Linked DNA regions of Macaca mulatta. The protein of the gene in region 1 interacts with the protein of each later gene in a pairwise test. Links are inferred from orthologs where the notes say so. Each region holds a gene or a part of one and is shown in the gene's direction. Other genes may lie near its edges.

The links. The genes of interacting proteins can lie anywhere in the genome.
Region 2: the proteins of DAB1 (region 1) and CLASRP interact in a two-hybrid assay, tested with the Homo sapiens proteins (2 studies listed by BioGRID and IntAct). The link is inferred for Macaca mulatta from reciprocal best matches to the Homo sapiens genes DAB1 and CLASRP.
Region 3: the proteins of DAB1 (region 1) and MBNL1 interact in binary tests that used the Homo sapiens proteins (3 or more experiments, as listed by UniProt). The link is inferred for Macaca mulatta from reciprocal best matches to the Homo sapiens genes DAB1 and MBNL1.

What each region holds. Positions count from the first base shown.
Region 1 is NC_133406.1:183,609,701-183,617,345, forward strand, and holds part of DAB1 (disabled homolog 1), read left to right. Parts: intron 1-4,374; coding exon 4,375-4,923; intron 4,924-7,645. UniProt on the Homo sapiens protein: Signaling adapter of the reelin-mediated signaling pathway, which regulates the migration and differentiation of postmitotic neurons during brain development.
Region 2 is NC_133424.1:57,570,142-57,577,786, forward strand, and holds part of CLASRP (CLK4-associating serine/arginine rich protein), read left to right. Parts: intron 1-1,229; coding exon 1,230-1,314; intron 1,315-2,532; coding exon 2,533-2,681; intron 2,682-4,021; coding exon 4,022-4,118; intron 4,119-5,137; coding exon 5,138-5,216; intron 5,217-5,302; coding exon 5,303-5,376; intron 5,377-6,894; coding exon 6,895-6,936; intron 6,937-7,645. UniProt on the Homo sapiens protein: Probably functions as an alternative splicing regulator. May regulate the mRNA splicing of genes such as CLK1. May act by regulating members of the CLK kinase family.
Region 3 is NC_133407.1:55,587,007-55,594,651, forward strand, and holds part of MBNL1 (muscleblind-like protein 1), read left to right. Parts: intron 1-3,123; coding exon 3,124-3,324; intron 3,325-7,645. UniProt on the Homo sapiens protein: Mediates pre-mRNA alternative splicing regulation. Acts either as activator or repressor of splicing on specific pre-mRNA targets. Inhibits cardiac troponin-T (TNNT2) pre-mRNA exon inclusion but induces insulin receptor (IR) pre-mRNA exon inclusion in muscle.

The sequences.
Region 1 (7,645 bases):
TTCCCTTTCACTCCACAGCAAGATTTATGATTGCTCTGAACTTCATGGCATAAACAGATGCTCCTTGGCACCTCCTCCCTCCACTACTGGACATTAATAGTAAACAGTTAACAAGCTGTTAAGTGGCTGCAGTGGCAACCCCCACGTGGCTCCCTGTGTCCAGTGCCACCACTGTCCTGCTGCTGGTGTGTCCTTTCGCTCATGCACAAGATCATGTGGCCAGACAGCCTTAACTCACCGGCCAAGGAGAGCCGGGCTGCAGGGACCCCCTAGGAAAAGTGAGTGGGACCTGCAAGCTCCTAAGCATGATACCCAATTACCCTGTGCTACCTTTTTTTCTTTTGAATATTGTACTTTGGTCTGGAGCAGATGGCATGAAGCCAGAGAGACATGCTAATAGCTCTCTCCAGAAAAGTGTGCACAGCCCATCTGTTAGCTCCTTGTGGAAAAAAAAAAACAAAAGATGGGAGGGGAAAAAAACCTGCCACCAACAGTAGAATCATCAGAGATCACAGCATTTATGCATTGTGGGTTTAATTAGACACCGGGAAAAATGCAGTGAGCGTATTGACTAGGACTTGTTCATCTTTATGTAGGGCCTTTCTCCCGTCCCAAACCATGCTAGGCAGAGTGGAGAGAGAGAGAGAATAAAGAGTTCCTGCCAACAGGTGGTTTCTAGTCTCATCAGGGAAGATAGAATAACCAGGCAATTACAATGCAGTGTGACAAATGTCATGATACAGGTGAGCACAGAGGACTGTGCAAGCCCAGAGAAGGACCAGTGGAGCTGACAGGAGCAAGAAGCCATCCAGCAGAGGTGATAGTGAGCCGAGTCTCCAAGAGCAAATCAGGGTTAGACATGCACAGAAGCAGCGGGATGGCTTTCCAGGCAGATGGGCCAGCAGAGACAAGAGACAGCACGTTGGGTTTTGTTTGCAACTGCTGAAGGGCAAGGTGCAGTGAGGATATGAATTGAAGATAGTGATGAAGAGGTGGAAGGGGCTGACCTCCAAGGACGCATAGCCAAGCTAAGACATGTGAGCCTTATACTAAAGACAGTGAAGTACCATATATGCATTTTAAAACAGTCGTTCCTGGCAACGAGGAGGGTGGAATAAAAGCAAAGCCAAAAATAGGCTTGATGTCAAGAGAGTGAAAACATCCCCTCATTCACCAAAATGGGCAGCAGGTCTTGGGTGATTGAATCCGTGGGTACTTCTCCACCTGCAGACCCAGCACCCCCTTCTTACTACAAATATTTACAATACCTCCTTTCATACCTTGAAATGAATTTCATAGATAAGGTAGTCTAGCTACACAATTTTTCAAAATGAATATAATTCTCTAATATAAGGCAGAAAGGAAAGAGAATTTGTAAGAAAAATGTATGTATTTAAATAAGGAAATACTCAGGCATGAGCACACTAGAAGGCATAACAGTCAGATGTATACACCTATAAGTAGAATCACTATCGAAAGCCACAGCTATAAGTCCAGACTGATACAGAAGTGTCATGTGGCTATACCACCATGAGAAGCGTTTCTGTCAGGGATGTCAGGGACTGCCATTTTCCAAAATAGTCAACACCTTTTGACAGTGTTCCAAACCAAAAATACAGTCTTCCCTCCCGTGCACAGTTGTTGAATTCCTGGAAAATTAAATGCATTAAAATCAAGTGCAAAGATAACTTTGAATTCCCGTGTAATTCAAAGTCGATTCTGGGTGCAAATGATCATAAACAGGATGTGGAATAATGCTTTGTCATACGCATTGGTCTCACACATAGTGAGATGTCTACTGTCAATGCTTGGGTCTCCTAAATGCCAGTAGTGTAACCCCCTCCACTTGTGACAACCAAAACACGTCCCACCAATTTTCTAGCCACCCCTAGGGGGCAGTAGTACTCCCACTGAGAACCACTGGGACATATCAAAGTAAATCGGAAAACAAGACTGAGTTGCAGGATTCTTCATCTGTTGGTAGATTTAAGTCACTACATTATCATGCCATGGGTGAGGCAAGCTAAGCAAGCTTCACGTTTGAAGTTTCAGCTCCAGGGCCTCTTCATCCCTCTTGCTTCAGTGCAGTTGGACAAAGTAGTCTTATAAGATATTCTCCATTTTTTTTGTTGACATCCTTGTCTCATTCCGCAGAAGTATTTAACACTGCGAGATTAATCAGCAAGAAGCACAGGTGTCCTATTGGTGCCTTTCTGGAGCCTGCTGTTAGGGAAGCATGGCATGAGAGGAAACGGGCACCTTGCAAGGAAAATCACCAGGCCTTGAATGTTGGCTCTAGCCTGTATCAGTCAGTTGAAGGCAGGTATATCTGTGACTGGAGTATGGAGTGAGACACCCTGCGTTCCATCTCTCTGGGCTCACAAGAGTCAGTGAGATGACTCATAATGTCATCAATGCCATAACGCCCACCCATTGTCCCTTTGGAAGTTGCTAGGATACTCTGCCTCCATTCCTCTTTTTTTCCTGGTCTCATTACACTGCATCGGTATCTTCCTACTGACAGCCATGGAAAGGCTTGTTTTGAGAGGCCCAGGCAAAGCTGGCTTCTCTATTCTCTGCTCTGCCCAGCCTGGGAACTTGTCTCTCAGGCTCAACTGCACATAGAGGTGGCCATTGTGCCCCCTGAGAAGGGTGGGGACCCCTGGAAGCACATGTGAATTTCCTGCAGGCCTGCAGTATCCAAATACAATCAAATAGTAGGCAAGGTCTATTAACTGCAAAGATCGGAAATTGGTCTTGGCCATCTGGGTGAGGCAGTGTGTGGCACAAAGGAAGGAACCCTGGCTTTGGGGGAACAGACAACCTCAGTTTGATCCTGCTCCTACCTCATGCAACCTGTATGACCCTGAGCAAGTTGCTTTTCCTTGAGCACCAATTTCTTCATCCCTAAAATAGAGATAACAATACCTACCCTGCCGGAATTTCGTGAAGACGCAAAACACATACTAGTGTATCTGGCATGTTGTAGGCATTTAATAAGTGGAGCTTGTTGCTGTTACTGCTATGTTACTATTATTATTGTAACACGTGTCACTTGTGCTCCTGTTAAAATGTATATGTCTTACCTAAAAAGAATAATACAGTGAACAATTATCATGGTAATACACATGAGTACAGGCTATGGGGTTTTGCAGTGTGTAACTTATACTGATGTATGAGGTGCCCCTGAGTGGACAATAACCTTCTTTTTTTTTTTTTTTTTTTTTTGAGACAAGTGTCTCACTCTGTTACCCAAGCTGGAGTGCAGTGGTATAATCACAGCTCAGTGCTGCTTCAAACTTTTGGGCTCAAGTGATCCTCCCGCCTCAGCCTCCTGAGTGCTGAGACAATGGGACTCTGAGCATGTGCCACCATTCCTCACTACTTTTTAAAAATTTTTGGTAGAGATGAGGCCTTGCTGTGTTACTAAGTCTGATCTCAAACTCTGAGCCTCAAGCAATCCTCCCACCTGGACCTCCCAAAGTGTTAGGATTACAAGCATAAGCCACCACATCTGGCCCTATTTTTTTAATTCTCCAAAATTGGAATAATAATAATACAGAAATCATGCATAATACCTCTAGCTGCCATTTATTACATGTCTTTTGTATATCAAGCAATGTAATAAGTAACTCTCTAGCCTCTATCTAATCCAAACCATACTAGTAACTAACATTTACTGAATGTTGATCCTGTGTCCGGTACAATACTCCACATTTTAAATATGTACTCTCAATTAATCTTCAAATCAACCTAGCAAGGTAGAAGGTGTTTATACCCATTTTACAAATAAGGTCATAGAGCCTTAGAGAGATTTAAGAACTACTCCCCAAATTACACAGTTAAGAGGTGGCTGTTTGAATTTTAACCTAGGTCTCTAAAACTCCAACATTCAGATTATTACTCACTTTGCACACTGCCTCAGGCCTGCGAAGGACGGTATTATAACCTGGTTTTACAACAAAGAGTCAGACTCTTAAAGAGCTTACGCAATTGAGAGGGTCCTAAGTGCAGCAGGAAGAGGAGGCAAGGAGAAAACCCAGGACGGCCTGCCTTCCGTCCTTCTGCCCTGTCCCTGAGACACACAGCTTCTGAGGCTATGAGACTTTAGAAACTTCTAACAACTACAGAAATGTGATTATTAGCATTCTAGTTTTTGCTTACAGATCATCTCCTCAGAGAGGCTTTCCCTGACCACTTCTCTAGGATATAGGCTCCAAGACAGCAAGGACTTTTGTCTTGTTCATCTTGGCATCCCCAGTCCCTGGCACACAGTCTGGCACTTAGTTGGTGCTTGATACATTTCTGTCAATTACCTGAGTCCATGCATCCTTCTTTCTCAGGACACCTGACTCTTCTTTTTCATTCTCCCAGGTTACGTTGCAATGGGCGCTGTCCTCCCGTCCTTCTGGGGCCAGCAGCCCCTCGTCCAACAGCAGATGGTCATGGGTGCCCAGCCACCAGTCGCTCAGGTGATGCCGGGGGCTCAGCCCATCGCATGGGGCCAGCCGGGTCTCTTCCCTGCCACTCAGCAGCCCTGGCCAACTGTGGCCGGGCAGTTTCCGCCAGCCGCCTTCATGCCCACACAAACTGTTATGCCTTTGCCAGCTGCCATGTTCCAAGGTCCCCTCACCCCCCTTGCCACCGTCCCAGGCACGAGTGACTCCACCAGGTCAAGTCCACAGACCGACAAGCCCAGGCAGAAAATGGGGAAAGAAACATTTAAGGATTTCCAGATGGCCCAGCCTCCACCCGTGCCCTCCCGCAAACCCGACCAGCCCTCCCTCACCTGTACCTCAGAGGCCTTCTCCAGTTACTTCAACAAAGTCGGGGTGGCACAGGATACAGACGACTGTGATGACTTTGACATCTCCCAGTTGAATTTGACCCCTGTGACTTCTACCACACCATCGACCAACTCACGTGAGTGCCCCTCACTTAAGACATAAAACCCAATGAGAGCCATAACTTATGTCTGGAGGTAGGGTTTCAGGGGTCAGATAACTCATCTCGCTTGCATTAATCAGGCTTCTTTGTTTATATTACTATTACTACTATTGCTACTATTACTACTACTATTACTACTAAGAGCTACAAATATAGGTACCACTGATAACATACAAACCTTCTTCATATGTTCCATGTTTATTTTTAGACTTATAATAATGCTTAATGACAAATTTTGTTAGACCTGTTTGATGGATAATGAAAGTGAGGCTCAAGGTTGAAGACAATAGACAAAGTGGTATTGAACTGAACGTAAGCCTAGTATTTTTCCACCGTATTACTCTGCTTCTTAAGATTTTGTTAGTTTACTCATGCATTCGTTCATTTATTTATGTATAGCCAGCTTATGACACATAGATTTTGGTGTGGTTTCTTGAAATAAAAGTGAATGCAAACTTTAAAAATTTGGGGAACAAGTTTTAAACATTAGAATATAAAATAAGGATCAAGAGAAAACTTAGGGCAGAGACACAGCAGCCGTAAGGTCTTAAATAGCTTTTATAGCTGAAGCCTCATTTTGGCTTAAAGCTTCTGGTAGTTAAAGAGAACAAAAAGATGGTGCTGCAGAAAGTACTGGACTGGAAACCTGGAGATCAGATTTATTAGTGACCAGTTTTGTACCTTTGGGCAAGGCACTTTATTTCTATGAGCCTCGGTTTCCTCATCTGTATGAGGGATGGGTTATTAAAAGGATTCAATGGTATATATACTCAAACATTATAGACCTCCCAGAATTTGAAGTATCTTTTATCCTCAGTATTAACACATGTTAAGTGGTTTTGTGCAGTGCTGGACCCCAGTTCTAGTGTTGACTCCTCTACCACAAGCTGTGTCTTTGGGCAAGCGTGTGACTTCTCTGAGACTCAGTTTTATCATTGGTAAAATAAGTGAATTGACTTGGATGAGCAGTGTGCATCCATCTAGTTCCAGCTTTCAGTGAGTCTCCTCCAGCCCACATTTTTTCTGCAAACATCTGGAAAACAGTGACTGTGCAGCCAAATCAGAATCCAGATACACTTGAGCATGTGTACGCTTGTTTGACATAATTCAGGGAGGGTGTTCTGGTGACTCAGCCTGTGCCTTGACACCTGATAAGAGGAAAGAAAAGGTTCATGCTACAGTGAGTTTGGTGGTTTCATTACTGTCACAGGTGATATGGATCACTGCATGGCCAGTACTGTGAACTGTCAAAAAAACCCCACAATGTTAATACAATTAGATTGTGTCATTTCAGCCAGGTTCAGAATGCTATTCTGAAAATGAATGCCCTCGGTGTGTATAAACAACCCACTTGCACTCAGGCCATATGATCTACATAGTGGCGGCATCTCTATTTACACAGACTCACAGGGTTTCAATGAGGAATAATGAATAAAAAACGAAATGTTAAAGAAATGACAGCCATGCATAAATAAGCAAGCATCTTTTTAAAAACAGACATCTCTCTTTCAATGGACTTATGTGCCAGCTACAAATGAAAGAGGAGAGTTTAAGTTCTTTGAGGGCAGGAACTGTCTCCATTACTCCTATACTTCTCATAATGCTAGCTTAGTGCCTGGCACATGAGAGGCATTTGGGAAAGGTTATAGAGAATGAAATAAACTAAATGGAGATCACTTAGCTACTGTTGTGTTTTAGAGCATTGTTGGCAACCTTGGCACTATTGATATGTTGAACCAGATAATTCTTTGTTTCAGAGGCTGTCCCATTATAGGATGTTTAGCAGCCCTGGCCTCTAATCACTCTATGAGAGAAACATATATCCCCTTCCTCTAGTGTCGAGAAAAATGACTCCAAGCATTGCCAAATGTACCCTAGGGATGAAATTGCCCCAGACTGAGAACCACTGCTTTAGAGTATTAGAAGCATCCTATGAAGCCTTCTAAAAATTAAGACACCTACGTAAATAAACTCCTGTTTATGCTTTCCATTTATTTCATTAGGTAAGTCTGAGCAGTAATCCTGCCAGAACTGGCAACTCAGCGTGTGTTCTCAACCTTTCGTAAGCAAAAATCCACTTCAAATACAATTCAGGATCTAATTAAACTAATATTTATTAAACATCTACTACCCTTCAGGGTGTTTGCATATAGCTTTAAACCCACTTTCAATATAGTTTGTTCCATAGTCATCTCCTGAAACAACACAGATTTCATTGCAAATTTTTTTTTCAAAAACTTACTGTTTTATTTTGAATGAAATTGGAAAAACCAGTCATTATCTCCTCTGACCCATCAGTATCCCCTTAAGAATGTTTTGGGTAGAGGATTGGTTGGATCAAAAGGGAACCTCCAATAAAAACAGAAAAGCACAGTTGGACTGGATACTGTCAGACAGAGCTCTGTTAAATGCCAGTGCTGCTATTTGATAGCTGTGTTAACCCTCAGCAAGTCAAGTCACCTCACCTCTCTGAGCTGCAATTTCTCCATCTGGGAAACAAAAAAGTTACAGTAACAGCTTGCAGGTATTTGTATTAGGGTGTATAATGGATGGGAAGTGCCTAGCACAGTGTCCAACTCATTGGCACATTATAAATAATAAATGAGGAAATAGCATCATTTTTCTAACTATACAGTTATCAGAGTAAAAAGTATGCACTAAGTTTTACAATCATCATTCACTGTCTGATTCTAAGTTC
Region 2 (7,645 bases), on another chromosome or scaffold:
AGACAGTGCACCATTCTCTGAGAAAAATAGGACAGAAGTCCTGGACCAAGGCTGGGGTCAGTGATGTATGGATAGAGGCTCCCTAGGAGGCACAGGTAGGCCACAGGATTCCAGGCCAAGAGCAGCCTGTGCAAAACCCTGTGTCAGCCAGGACTATGGGCACACTGGAGGGGCAAAGAGAAGGCCCGTGTGACCGGAGCAGGGAGAGCGAGGGAGCTTGTGCAAGGCAGGGTCAGCGGGGCCCCTCCTGGGCTTTGGAGACAACAAGTAGAAATGGAGTATCTGCTAGAGCAAGGAAGGGCCGTGCTACATCCCCTTCTGGCCCGCCAGCCCACCCACCTCTTGTTCCAGATAGAAAAACTCAGGCCAGCCGGGCACAGTGACTCATACCTCTAATTCCAGCACTTTTGGGAGGTCGAGGTGGTGGATCACCTGAGGTTGGGAGTTCGAGACCAGCCTGACCAACATGGAGAAACCCTATCTATACTAAAAATACAAAATTAGCTGGGTGTGGTGGCACATACCTGTAATCCCAGCTACTTGGGAGGCTCAGACAGGAGAATCGCTTGAACCCGGAAGGCAGAGGTTGCGGTGAGCAAGATCGCACCATTGCACTCCAGCCTGGGCTACAAGAACGAAACTCCATCTCAAAAAAAATACCGACAAAACTGAGGCCCAGGGAGGGAAGGAAGGAAGGGGACTCACCACCCACGGTCCCACAGCAAGTCAGGCACACATGTCTCACTGCAGGGAAGATCAGGAAGGCTCTGGTACATTGTTGAGTCCTCTAAGCTGGGTGTTAAAATGAGTCACGAAGAGGCTTGCAGTGGAGTGACCTGTGCAGTCAGTGGCGTGTGGCGCTCAGGAGCAGGTTTTGGTTCTGAAGGGTCCAGCCAGAGGCCTCCAGAAACAGTTAGAATGGTAGTAGAGTGTCCAAGTACCAGGCTAGGCACTCACTCTGCCTGTGGTCCCATTTTACAGAAAAGGAAACCGAGGCACAGATGTGCTGTCACTTGACCAAGGTCGTGTGTCCAGTGAGTGGTGTGTCCAAGGCTCTGCTGCAGTTGCTTGTGTCCCACCAGACACAGTTTGATTATCTGGAAGTGGCGATTGCCCCAAGGTGCACTGGGGTTGCACCTGTCTTCCTGCTTCACCGCACTCTGATGTTCTCCCACTGAATTCCTAGTGTCCCCAACCCACTCTGACCTGGAGTCTCTTGTTTGCTGCAGTCTCAGAGGAGCAGTGCCTGTACCAGATCTACATTGACGAGTTGTACGGAGGCCTCCAGAGACCCAGTGAAGATGAGAAGAAGAAGTGAGTTGGGGTCTGGGGTGCAGGGGGTTGAGGAGGCAGGAGGGCTGGGAGCCCCAGGCAGGCATGGCCTCTTCCATCCTGTCCACCAGGGTCTCCCCAGAACCAAGGATGGTGTTCAGCACACAGTCAGTGCTCACTTAATAACTGTGTAGAGGAAGAAGCCCTGTCAGGGTACCAGGGCTTGCCGACGGCTCTGCGTTGCATTTTCAGCTTGGGGAGTGGTGGGAGGTGCAGTCCCTGTGGTCAGACAGCTCTGGGTTTGAGTCCTGGCTGTGAGACCCTGAGTGGGAATTCTCTGAGCCTTGCTGTGCTTCCCTGTAAAATGGGGCTGGCAGGAGGCCCCGCTGCCTGGAGTTGGGAGGCATGCAGGAGACAGAGCTTGTGAAGTACCTGTCCTAGCACCTGCCGTGTAGTGAGCTTGCAATCAGCCCTCACTGATGTCACTCTGGAGAGAGGCTTCTCAAAGCTGCATCCCTCAAGGAGTGGCTGGGGAGACCTGAGCCTTATCCTGGAGCAGCTGCCTCTGAGGAGCAGCAGGCAGTCTCACTTCTCTCTTCTCCACCTCAGTCTGATGAGCACAGGCCCCTACCCTCACACATGCCGTTCCCTCTGCAGGGCTTAGCTCTCCTCCAGGCCAGCTGCTGTTGCCCTGGTGCACGGTAGACTGGAGCCCTGGCTCGGGACTGGGCGGCTCTCTCAGTGACACCTTCCCTCCTGCTCCCCCTGACTGCTTGCCGCCTTCCTCCACTGGGAGGGGTCCCATGGGACTGTCCTGGATGCTTCTTGGAGACTTCAGCCCTCGTCCACAGCCCCAGCCTCAGGGTCCTGCTCAGGCCCCTCAGGCACTGCTCTGTTCAGAGCAAAGCTGGGGCACCTGACTGCTCAGGAGGACTCTGGGCTGTGCCCTCGTGGGACTTACGGTCTGGCGGGAGACAGACCTTCCCCAACAGAGATGACCCAAGGAAGGCAGGGCTGGGGAGCTCAGGACAGTGCCGACCCACCATAGGTGCCAGTCAAGGACTTCTTGGCAGGTGGGGCCCTGGAGCTGAGATGTGGAGGAAGAGGGAGGAGCTGGGTGTGGGCAGGAGCAGAGGGACCTAGGCCGAGGGACAGCCTGAGGGGAGGGGGCCGTGGCACTCGAGAAGCTGGTGTGTGGGGCCAGCCTGGGGCCCTCCTCTCCGCCAGGCGCGGCCCTGGCTCAGCGGCTCCCCTTTCCAGGCTGGCAGAGAAGAAGGCTTCCATCGGTTATACCTACGAGGACAGCACGGTGGCTGAGGTGGAGAAGGCGGCAGAAAAGCCAGAGGAGGAGGAGTCAGCAGCCGAGGAGGAGAGCAACTCGGATGAAGATGAGGTCATCCCCGACATCGGTGGGGTCCCCTCTCTGCCCTCCCCACCCACAGTCCCTGGGCATCGTTTCTGTGTCTCGTCCCTCACCCTCTGTGGGGCACCCCGTGCTTACGAGCTGTGTCGCTCTCCCTCCCCCGCCCCAGGGCATGCCAGCCTCCTGCCACCCCTGTCTCACTCATCTCTCGTTTCTAGGGTGCTGTTTCTACGATCTTTTCCCCTCCTAGGTGTTGGCTCCATTCTTGTCCACTTGGGCCGGCCTCTCTGTGCCTCTGCCCCTCTCTCCTGCTCTCTTCCCTCCTCTGGAAAACAAGTGTTCATCCTCTTACAGAGCCAGCCCCCATCCTCCAGGCATCTGTTCACCCTCCCCCTCTCTGCCATTCACCTCCCCTCTGGATTCCCACTGGTCAAACCACCCCCGAGTCTCTCCGCTTTACTCATCCTGGCTCTCACTCCAGCAGCCGGCTCTTTTTATTTTTTTATGTATTATTTATTTTTTTGGGATGGAGTTCTGCTCTGTCACCCCGGCTGGAATGCAGTGGTGTGTTCTTGGCTCACTGTGACCTCCACCTCCTGGGTTCAAGCGATTCTCCTGCCTCAGCTTCCCAAGTAGTTGGGACTACAGGCACGTGCCACCATGCCCAGCTAATTTTTGTACTTTTAGCAGAGACAGGGTTTCGCTACATTGGTCAGGCTGGTCTTGAACTCCTGACCTCATGATCCACTTGCCTCGGCCACCCAAAGTGCTGGGATTACAGGCATGAGCCACTGCGCTCAGACAGCAGCCGGCTCTTTATTCACACTTTGCCACACATTGACCTCCGCCCAGCCCTCCTTCCGCTGGCTCATCACACGCCCTGCTTCCAAACACCTGTGACCCGTACCCTGCCTGCCACCCACCATGATCTTCAGCCGCCATCTGTCTGACCCTATTCAGTCCTCCCTCCCACGTCAACCCCGCCACACGTCTCATCCATTCCTCCCTCCCTCCATCCACCTTCCTTCCCTGCCTCTATTCCATTCATCCCTCCATCCCTCCTGCCCTCCAGCCCTCCCTGCATCCCTTCATCCGTCCCTCCACCCATTCATCCATCTCTCCCTTCTTCTTTCCCTCCCTCCGTTCATCTGCCCCTTCCAAGCCCCGTCCCCCAGCTGCCTCTGTCCACCGTGTGTTGCGCTCACCTCTGGCCAAGCCCAGTGCGAGCCTAGGGGATGCCAAGATGAGCCATACTTGATGCCATCCCTTCCTGAAGAGTGCTTCAGTCTGGCAGGCGCCCTATCACCCCCACCTCCTGGAGCACTGCCCCTTCTCCCCTGTCCTCTCGCTCGGCGGTGGCTCCTGACAGCCTTTCTCTTGGTGCAGACGTGGAGGTGGACGTGGATGAACTGAACCAGGAGCAGGTGGCAGATCTCAACAAACAGGCCACGACTTATGGCATGGCCGACGGCGACTTTGTCAGGTGAGGCCTGCCTGCTGACACTCCTCCCCATTCTGTGGGCCCCACCCTGGCATCTCACTGTTACTCCCCATACTGACAGCCATCCTGTTTGTGAGCATTTGTGTGCCTGACCCTGGGCCCAGGACTTTACACATGCAGGTCCCTGAGCCTATGGTGGTCGTGGCCCCACTTCATCTGTGCAGGAACAGGCTGCACCCAAATCACCCAGCCTGCCCTACTTAGTGTGACCTGGGGCGAATCTGACTCTTTGAAGCTCAGGGGATTCCTAGGCTGGGGGACAGCACCCTCTAGTGGAGAGGCCTCATTCCCTGGTCATTTATTCTGGCAGTTGCTGGTTGTACCTCTACCCTGAGCCATACCCCCTGCTGAGCTCATAAGACCACACAGAATGGTCCCAGCTCACTGGGCAGTGAACCCAAAGCAGAGCCTGAGCACGGCACCCTCTGCCCAGAGCCCTTTGTGGCTCCCACCTCCCTCAGGCACATCCAGTGTCCTCACCATGGCTGAAAGGTCTTACCCATCTGGTCCTCTTGACTGCCCCCATACCCCCTGCCCAGCCTCCATGGCCTCCTTGCTCCTCAAGTGCAGAGGCCTGGCCCAGCACCTGGGCCAGTCTGTCTGCTGTTCGCTTCGGGCGTCTGCAGCTTGCTCCCCCAGGTTTCTCTCTAGATACCCTGTTCTGTGTCGCTTCCCTGAGCTTCCTCTTGAAAAATGCAGCTTCCTCTGCCTTTGCTCTAACATCTAATGGACCATGCGTTTTATTCCCTTGCTCATTGTCTTCTCCCCTAGAATGTAAGCCCGTGCAGGTGAGGATTTCTGGTTTTTTTAGTGCTGAGTTCTTGATGCCTAAGATAGGACCTGGCACACAGAGGGTGCTTAATAAGTGGCACTGAATGAAAGACACCTCAGGCTGGTGTGGGGTGACTCGGGTCCCTCACTTTCTCTGATGACTCAGCCTGTGTCCTCCATGTCCTGTGGCGTGCCCCCTCCTCCACCCTAATTCTCACCCCCCTCTATAGGATGCTCCGGAAAGATAAGGAGGAGGCAGAGGCCATCAAGCACGCCAAGGCCCTTGAGGAGGAGAAGGCCATGTACTCGGTGAGGTCTGGGCTAGAGTGGAAGGCGACAGGGTTGTGTCACAGGGAGGGCACCCCGTCACCAGTCTGGCACCCACCCTACTCCAGGGACGCCGCTCTCGACGCCAGCGGAGAGAGTTTCGGGAGAAGCGGCTGAGGGGTCGCAAGATCAGCCCACCCAGGTAGGGCTTCTCCCTGAACCCCCACCCTGCTGGCATCTGGGGGAGGGGAGCGGGGGCTTAGGGCCTGAGAAGGCTCTTTGGAGGCAGGCATTTGACTTGAGGAAAGAGTCTTTCTAGTGGGGCGATGCATGGCCTGCGTGAAGGTTTAGAGGTAGGAACGGCCTTGAGGGCCATGTGGACTCCTTTCCTTGCCAGCCGCTCCCCTCACCCTGCTGGACTGGGGGCCCTTGCCAGACTCCCAGGAGCCCATGCACAGGCGGCATTAGGCTGTCACCAGGGCGGCGGAGGAATAGAGGGCACAGGCTTTGCCCTGGACTCTCACTCAGTTCTGCTGCTTGGCTGTTTCCTGTGTTGGAGTTTGGACAAGTGACTACCTGAACCCTCTGAGCTTCAGTTTCTTCCTTTGGAAAATGAAGCATTATCACCTACCATGAGAGAGGGCTGGGGCAGTCCCCACAGGGAGGTCTTGGGACAGGTTTGGATGAGGCAGTCTGGCTTGGAGCAGAGAGCCCAGCCTGGGTCAGGAGGCCTTGAGGAGAGGCCCGGTGCAAACCCATGCCTCTTTTTGCCACATCTCTTAAAGGAGAGTGATTGAGAGTTCCTGTAAGGCTTAAACGACTTGTAGGTTCAGGGGTTGGTGTGCGAAATATTCCTTAAAGAATAGCACCAGTTGTCACTGCTGTCAGTGGTGGCACAGAGGCACATAGAGGGTAGTGCAGGAAAGCCCAGGCTGGGTGGCTATAGGGCCTGGGTGTGGATCCCCGTTTCCTCCTTTATGAGCTGCATGATGCTGGACAAGTGACTTCACCTCTCTGGGCTTCAGTTTCCTCAGCTGTGATAGTCTTTCTCTTCTTTTTTTTTTCCAGAGACAGGGTCTTGTTCCGTCACCCAGGCTGGAGTGCAGTGGTGCAATCACGACTTACTGCAGCCTCAAATTCCTAGGCTCAGGCGAGCCTCCTACCTCAGTCTCCTTAGTAGCTGAGATTACTGGCATGCATCACCACTCCCAGCTAATTAAAATAAAATATGCTTTGTAGAGATGGGGTCTTGCTGTGTTGCCCAGGCTGGTCTCAAACTCCTGGGTTCAAGTGATCCTCCCACTTCAGCCTCTCAAAGTGCTGGGATTACAGGTGTGAGCCACCGCACCCAGCCTGTTTTTGTCTTATCATCATCATCATTGGTAAACCCAGACCCAGTGAGAGCCAGAGACGAGGATTGGGAGGAGGGATGCTTTCATTCTAGGGTCAGGAGGCCAAGCAGAACCAGGGTTGCTGAAGTCCAAGTTCCTCAGAGTCGTCATGGGTCTAGGACATTGTGGGGTGGGGCCTAAGTTCATGCTTTGGACAGATCTGAGGTGGGGGTGGGTGGAGGAATCAAGGGAAGGCCCCCAACCTGGTCAGCAACCCCCTCACTGTGCCAGGTGCCTAGCTTTGGGTCCTTAGGTTGGGGGACTTATCCCAAATTCATGCCCACTGAGATCTTAAGCCCCAACTTGTCCCACCCCATTCTTCTCTCTAGCTATGCCCGCCGAGACAGCCCCACCTATGACCCCTATAAGCGGTAAGTTCCTCCGGAGGACCAGGGAGGAGCAGACAGGGAGCTCCCTGATGGGGACAGGGGTGCTGAGGAGGGGATGGGAGGTTCACCCTACTAGGCCACCCCAAGACCACAGACTGCATGATATGTTCTGGGTCTAAATCATTTTTGTGTTTTCCAGATCACTGTCTTGTTTTCCCAGTTTTAAATAAAATTTTGCTTTTTTTTTTTTTTTTTTGGAGATGGAGTCTCGCTCTGTCACCCAGGCTGGAGTGCAGTGGCCCGATCTCGACTCACTGCAAGCTCCGCCTCCCGGGTTCACACCATTCTCTGGGACTACAGGTGCCCGCCACCAGGCCCAGCTAATTTTTTGTACTTTTAGTAGAGATGGGGTTTCACCGTGTTGTTAGCCAGGATGGTCTCGATCTCCTGACCTTGTGATCTGCCCGCCTCGGCCTCCCAAAGTACTGGGATTACAGGCGTGAGCCCCGCGCCCGGCCAATAAAATTTTCTTTATATTTTGAAGCTTCTTTATTTTATTTTTCTGATTTATTTATTTATTTATTTATTTTTTTTTTTTTTGAGACGGAATCTTGCTCTGTCACCCAGGCTAGAGTGCAGTGGCGCGAACTCGGCTCATTGCAAGCTCCGCCTCCTGGGTTTATGCCATTCTCCTGCCTCAGCCTCCCAAGTAGCTGGGACTACAGGCGCCCGCCACCTCGCCCGGCTAGTT
Region 3 (7,645 bases), on another chromosome or scaffold:
ACAGTGCCCTAAAATTGTACAGATTTGAATTTGCTCTGCTGAATTAAAGCAAAAGATCAATTCTCTTGCTGACTCTATAGAAACAACTCAGGAAAGATTATTGCCAGTTATTAAAGCAGTATTTTTACATAATAAAAGTATGATTCTGCCTGTAGTGTGCAACAGCTGCATTATATGCATTTTTAGATTTCCAGTGTATTTTATTTGATGAGATTTAAGAGAGCTGAGTTTTATTAGCCTCTGGTCGCATTTTATTAAAATAAAAATGCTTTTTCTTCCAAAAACATTTTTAAATTTGTCCTTTGCTTTTAAATAATTATAGTAGATTATGTACAGTAACATAAACATCTCAGTAACTTTCTGAAGTATACATTAAAAATGCACTATCTGGAAATACATGTTTATTCATAGTAAAAGAATGCAAAGAGGAATGATAATGAGTAGCTTCTGTTGTCCATTTGCTGAACTAGTCTGTTAGTCCCCTGACATAGACTCTTTTAGTCTTCTATGCTAAATTTCTTGTAATTCTTAAATGACTAATATAGAAATTAGGGTGCTGGTCTGGCTGGATTTTCATATGCAATCTGACAATGTATAACAAAGTACAAGTTTAACCTGAATATCCTTGAATAGAAATCCAAGTTCAACATATATTCACTATACAATCAATCCTTGTCCTGCTGCCACCTGGACAGAGAATGGACAGTGGCGCAGCATTAAGTCAGCTGTGGCTCCGGGAAGTGTTGGTGGACAGAGACTGCCCTGGGCCCTAGTTTCTGACAGCTTGTTGATTGTTAAAATCTGGAATGCACAGATAGTTCTTGTTGTCTGCAGGTTGCTGCTTTGTGCTGGGAGGGGTTGGGGATTAGAGGTGCTACTTGAGACCACTTCATCAGGCAAGAGCCATCGACCTGGCAGAGTAGCTAAACATGGCATTCAAACCAACGTGTTCAGAGGCATAATAATTTTAAGTTGAAATGGTATAATCTATATTGTATTGTTTCTTCTCAGTGAATCACATTAGGTATTGCATATTTTGGTTTTTCATATTTTTGTTAGTAAAAATGTATAGCTAAATGCAAAGAGTGCTTCCCAAGCAAGTTTTGAGGTCAACAGAAGAGTTCCCTAAGAAAGGCCTTCTTAACATTGACAGTATTGACTTTCGGGGCTGGATAATTCTTTGTTGCGAGGGGCTGTCTTATATGTTGTAGAACACTTAGCAGCATCCCTGGCTTCCATCCGTTATATGCAATAGTTCCCCTCCAGCTGTGATAACCAAAAATGTCTTTAGACATTGCCAGGTGTCTCCTGAGAGGCAAAACAACTCGGTTGAAAACCACTGCCCTAAGAAAAAGGGAACACTTGAAATTCATTTTATTTTTCTAAATATAGAATCAGTCAGGGCCAGAGTGAATAAAGGATATGTTTTACTTTTTAACGTATTTCTTTTGTACTATAAGAATTACATTTGTAATGTATGCCTTATATTGCAAAAAGTTTTGCTACAAAGCTCTCTTGAATGCTACATATATTCAGGGACCATGTAACTTCTTATTCCTATCAGATGGCAGAATTAGTTATTAATACATTATAATGTCTCTTTTATTCTAAAAAATGTTCTGTAATTCTGTTCATTACTACTGAGTAAAGAAAATAAATTGTTAAATATTACCTTAAAGAGGCTGGGCTCGGTGGCTCAGGCCTGTAATCTCAGCACTTTGGGAGGCCGAAGTGGGCGGATCATGAGGTCAGGAGATTGAGACCATCCTGGCTAACATGATGAAACCCCGTCTCTACTAAAAATACAAAAAATTAGCCAGGCATGGTGGCGGGTAGTCCCAGCTACTAGGGAGGCTGAGGCAGGAGAATGGCATGAACCCGGGAGGTGGAGCTTGCAGTGAGCCAAGATTGCACCACTGCACTCTAGCTGGGGCAACAGAGCAAGGCTCCGTCTCAAAAAAAAAAAAAAAAAAAAAAATTACCTTAAAGAACAGCATCCGTTTTGCCTACAAGCTTTTGTTTTTCAGAAACAAGCATTATTACATGAAGCATTAAACTTCGAGAACTAGAATTGAGAGTCTGTTAGGAAGTTAAAAATGTACTATCCATAAGATATGAAATTGTTTGTGTTCTGTTATACTTTAAACACTAGAAAAACAAATCGTTAGATTTCAGGTAAATTAATGCTATTCAAGAACAAATATATTTTATGATATGCAAGTTTGCATATCAACAAATAGAAACAATCCTTGTGTATCCATGAAAGCATTTCTGGAAGAAATTCTGTCTTGTAGCAGTTTATTCAGTTCTGCCATATGTATTTCCTTGACTAATCATGTAGCATTTCCTTAGTAGCAGTTCTACTTCAGACTTCACATTTTAGACGTGTTTTCCCTTAGTAAGGTATGATAGACTAGTGGAACATTTATAATTTCCCCCAGAAAAATCACCATCAAGTAAGTATACCAAACACTTTATCTTATGTGCTCAGAAGACAAGGTGTCATCATCACCTTTCCCAAACCCATGAGATTTATTTACAGCTTACATTGACTGTGAAACTCTTTTATCCCCTGGGAGTTCTACTGTATTTATTCCGGATCATAGGACACTTGCAACCTATTAACAGTGGTAAACAGGTCTTTCAAGTACATCTGACATAGCAATTACAAAATGTATTTCTTAGACAAATATCTAGAATTAAGTCAGGGCAAAGATGAAGATTAGGTGACCACAAGGAGTTTCTGCCTAGTTTATCTATTTTTCAAAAAAAAAAAAAAAAATTACAAGTATTATAGACCCCCCAGGTTCAAAATTCCAGTGAATAATTTAATGGATATTTTACCTGTTATATTTTAGAAAAACATTGATTTGATGAGTGCTTATTTAATAAAACAGCCTTACCCTAAATGATAGTAAATGAACACAGGATTAAAGGGAAGAAGGCAAGGGAGGAAGAATGGATAGATGGATGGAGGACAAATGGTAAATGAACACAGGATTAAAGGGAAGAAGGGAAGGAAGGAAGAGTTGATAGATGGATGGAGGACAAATGTATAATTAAGAATAATCAACTTTGAGCTGAGACCTGCTTGTTAAATTTTGCTTTTATTTTATTTTTCAGCCAATGTTTTCAGTTGCACCAAGCTTAGCCACCAATGCATCAGCAGCCTTTAATCCCTATCTGGGACCTGTTTCTCCAAGCCTGGTCCCAGCAGAGATCTTGCCGACTGCACCAATGTTGGTTACAGGGAATCCGGGTGTCCCTGTACCTGCAGCTGCTGCAGCTGCTGCACAGAAATTAATGCGAACAGACAGACTTGAGGTAGGAATGACTAGTTGGTGTCTTTATGTAATACATTCTAATTCTCCAAGTGTATTTTTTTGTTTGTTTGTGTTTCCATGGCCAAAAAGTTGTAAAAATTTTAAAACAGAGATTTTGGCTTAGGGTTTGGAACATTTTACTAGAGTATAGATATGCTGTATTTGATTAATGTAATGTTTATAAAGGCTACAACATCCATGTTTAGAATAGTGGATAAGAAGTTGGACCCTAAAGTCAGATTGCCTGGTTATATCACTGTACCTCAATTTCCTCATCTTTAAAACGGCACTTACCTCAAAGAGGGGAATATCTGGCACATAAGCAAATGCCTCCTGAGTGTTTGTTGTTGTTGCAACTATCAAGAATAACAAACGTTATCAATCACCTAAAAATTGTTCTCATAAAGATTTACAAATATTAGTGTCTGTAAAACATTTTACAATTTATTATTGCAAGTTTTCTCATAAGCTGTACAATATTTTGGTTGAAGTAGAAAGGAAACTTTGTTTATGAAGTGTGCTTTCATAAAAGTTTTTTGCATAATCCTCTTAAGTTCTAGAGTAAAGGATGATCAGATGCGTGGGCTCCGCTGTTGGTACATGAAAAAGATATTAAAGTTATAAATCTTACTTCAATGTCGTTGTTCAGAATTTCAACATGACTGTGAATTAATGAATTTGGTAAATTATAGATGTAGAGAAAAAGTGACAGCATCAAATGTACATTGAAGATACAAACCTGTCATTGAACCCACCTAAAGAATAAAATGACTTTTTCCTCTTTTCCCTGGTGAGGATGAGGTGATATATTTTTTTAACTTACATTTTAGGTTCAGGGGTACATGTGCAGGTTTTTATATAGGTAAACTTTATACCATTGGGGTTTGGTGTAGAGATTATTTCATCACCCAGGTAATAAGCACAATACCCAATAGGTATTTTTTTCTGATCCTCTCCCCCCTCCCACCAACCACCCTCAAATAGGCCCTAACATCTGCTGTTTCCCTCTTTGTGTCCATGAGGTCTCATCATTTAGCCCCCACTTACAAGTGAGAACATGTGGTATGTGGTTTCCTGTTTCTGTATTAGTTTGCTTCAGATAATGGCCTCCAGCTCAATCTATGTTGCTGCAAAGGACGTGATCTCATTCTTTTTTATGTCTGCATAGTATTCCACAGTGTATATATACCACATTTTCTTTATCCAGGCTACCATTGATGGACACTTAGGTTGATTCCATGTTTTTGCTGTTGTGAATAGTGCTGCAGTGAATATACACATGTGTGTCTTTATGGTAGAACGATTTATATTCCTTGGGTAAATACCCAGTAATGGGATTACTGGGTCAAATGATTTCTGTTTTTAGGTCTTTGAGGAATTGCCACACTGTTTTCCACAACGGTTGAATTAATTTGCACTCCCACCAGCAGTGTATAATTGTTTCTATTTCTTTGCAACCTTACCAACATTCATTATTTTCTGAGTTTTTAATAATAGACATTTTAACTGGCGTGAGATGGTATCTGGTGGTTTTGATTTGCATTTCTCTAATATTAGTGATAATGGACATTTTTCATATACTTATTGGCCACTTGTGTATCTTTCTTTGAAAAGCATCTGTTTATGTCCTTCACCCACTTTGTAATAGGGTTGTTTTTTGCTCATAAATTTAAGTTTCTTACAGATTCTAGATATTAGACCTTTGTGGAATACATAGTTTGTAAATATTTTCTCCCATTCTGTAGGCTGTTTATTCCGTTGATAGTTTCTTTTGCTGTGTAGAAGCTCTTTAGTTTAATTAGATACCATTTTTCCATTTTTATTTTTGTTGCGATTGCTTTTGGCATGTTTGTCATGAAATCTTTGCCAGGTCCTGTGTCAAGAATGGTATTTCCTATGTTACCTTTCAGGGGTTTTATAGTTTGGGGTTTTACACTTAAGCCTTTAATCCGTCTTGAGTTGATTTTTGTATATGGTGTAAAGAAGGGGTTCAGTTTCAATCTTCTGTGTATAGCTAGCCAGTTATCCTGGCACCATTTATTGAACAGGGAGTCCTTTCCTCATTGCTTGTTATTGTCAGCTTTGTTGGAGATCAAATAGTTATAGGTGTGCTGCATTATTTCTAGGCTCTCTATTCTGTTCCATTGGTCTGTGTGTCTTTTTTTGTACCAGTACCTTGTTTTGTTTACTGTAGCCTTGTACTATAGTTTGAAGTCAGGTAATGTGATGCCTCCAGCTTTGTTACTTTTGCTTAAGATTGTATTGGCTATTGGCCGTTCAAGCTCTTTTTTTATTTCATATGAATTTTTAAGTAGTTTTTTTTTTTTCTAATTCTGTGAAGAATGTCATTGGTAGTTTGACAAGGAATAACATGGAATGTATAACTTGCATTGAACAGTATGGCCATTTTAATGTTATGGATTCTTCCTATCCATGAGCATGGAAAGTTTTTCAATTTGTTACGTGTCATCCACGATTTCTTTGAGGGATGTTTTGTCATTCTCATTTTAGAGAGCTTTCACCTCCCTGCTTAACTGTTATTCCTAAGTATTTTATTCTTTTTGTGGCAATTGTGAATGGGAATGCACTCCTGATTTGGCTGTCTGCTTGGATGTTGTTGGTTTATGGGAATGCTACTCATTTTTATACATTGATTTTGTATCCTACAACTTTGCTGAAGTTGTTTATCAGATCAAGGAGCTTTTGGGCAGAGACTATGGGGTTTTCTAGATAAAGAAACAACTTGTCTGCCAACAGGGATAATTTGACTTCCTCTCTTCCTATTTGGATGCCTTTTATTTCCTCCTCCTGAAGATGAGGCAATACTTAGTGCTAATAAATTTTACTGAGAAAGTGGCAAAATGAGGCTGTTATATGAACATAATTGACTCAAATAATTTGTCAGTTTAGCAGGAATTTAGTTAATAAGCTGATTTATTATTTATTAACTTTTGTTGCATACATTACAAAGGCTCTGAAATTTTAGCGTATTGACAATCATATACCAGACACATGCATCAGAGCTTTAATGCTCAAAACAATCTTATCAGGAAGACACTATTATTAATTCTGTTTTACAGGGAAATGATTTTAGGGGAAGAGATGTGAAGCAACTTGTTCTTGCTAGGGAGATACACCTGATACACCTGGATTTTTGAGTGATTTGTCGTTACACAACTGTATTGCTTATTAATTAACTATTGCTGTTTGCAGATGGATTAAGAGGAAACTTAAATTTTTTTTAAATATCTGAAATTATTGGATGCTCAGCATGTGAAGCAGTTTTATTCCCCCAACCTTTCTAAAGCAAACCCTGAGTTCTTAATGCATAATTGTTGATTGATTAGTGGTAACCAAATAAGCAATCTGAGATGAACTTTAATGAATTAATTATTAATAGATGATATTCAAAAAAAATGGTTATAACTCTACTAAACCAATCCTCCCACATTCACAATTTTAAGTAGTTTGTTACTGTTTATATTTTGTAGTGCTTAATTGAAATGAAGACTTTTGTCTTTGGGTTTTTTTCTTTTTGTGAGGAGCTACTTATTGTATTTTGTCTGTTTTCTTTTGCTATAGTCAGTACACATGGCTACCACTGCATCAACTGTGATTTGCCTTTTATCTGAATCCTGCTTCTCTAAATGCTTGATTGTAGTGCAGCTTCCTGTCTTATTCTTGTTAACAAGATCAGATCCAGTGTCACAGTTCCAACCTGTTAGGATACTGCAGCGTGAAGCTCTGAGGCGCATCTTGCTGCTCTGTGCTTGTGATTTTAGACAATCCTATCTGCACGTTATTTCTTCGCATGCCAATTGCATCACGTATCGAAGTCTAAAAGACATGGCAATAAATGCACCTACTTATTTATTAATTGATCAAATGTTTGGTCATTTGGTATTTAAATGCATACTCTACTTCTTCCTTATGAAATTCTGAAGCATATATTTGAATTTTGAGTTCCTTCTGAGGTAAAAAAATTTTTGGAATCAGTTAAACTATTGACCAGTTCTTCTGGCCACTTCTTTCTGTCTTTTTACTGCAACTTGTTAGACAATAAGGAAATTTAAAATACCATAGATTGTTAGCCTTCTGGTTCTTATATAATTGCTTAAAACTGACATCTTTACAGCACCCAGTGTGATACTACAGAAAAAAAAAAATGTTAAATTGGAAAACAGGAATTCAAGAATTACTACATGTGATATTGCTAATTAGGTGAGCCAGCTTGGATCAGGATGCTCTTATTCTCTGGGTTTCATATTCCTCACATGTAAAGTTAGGGGGTTGCACCCCATAATCTCTAAGGTCACTTCCAA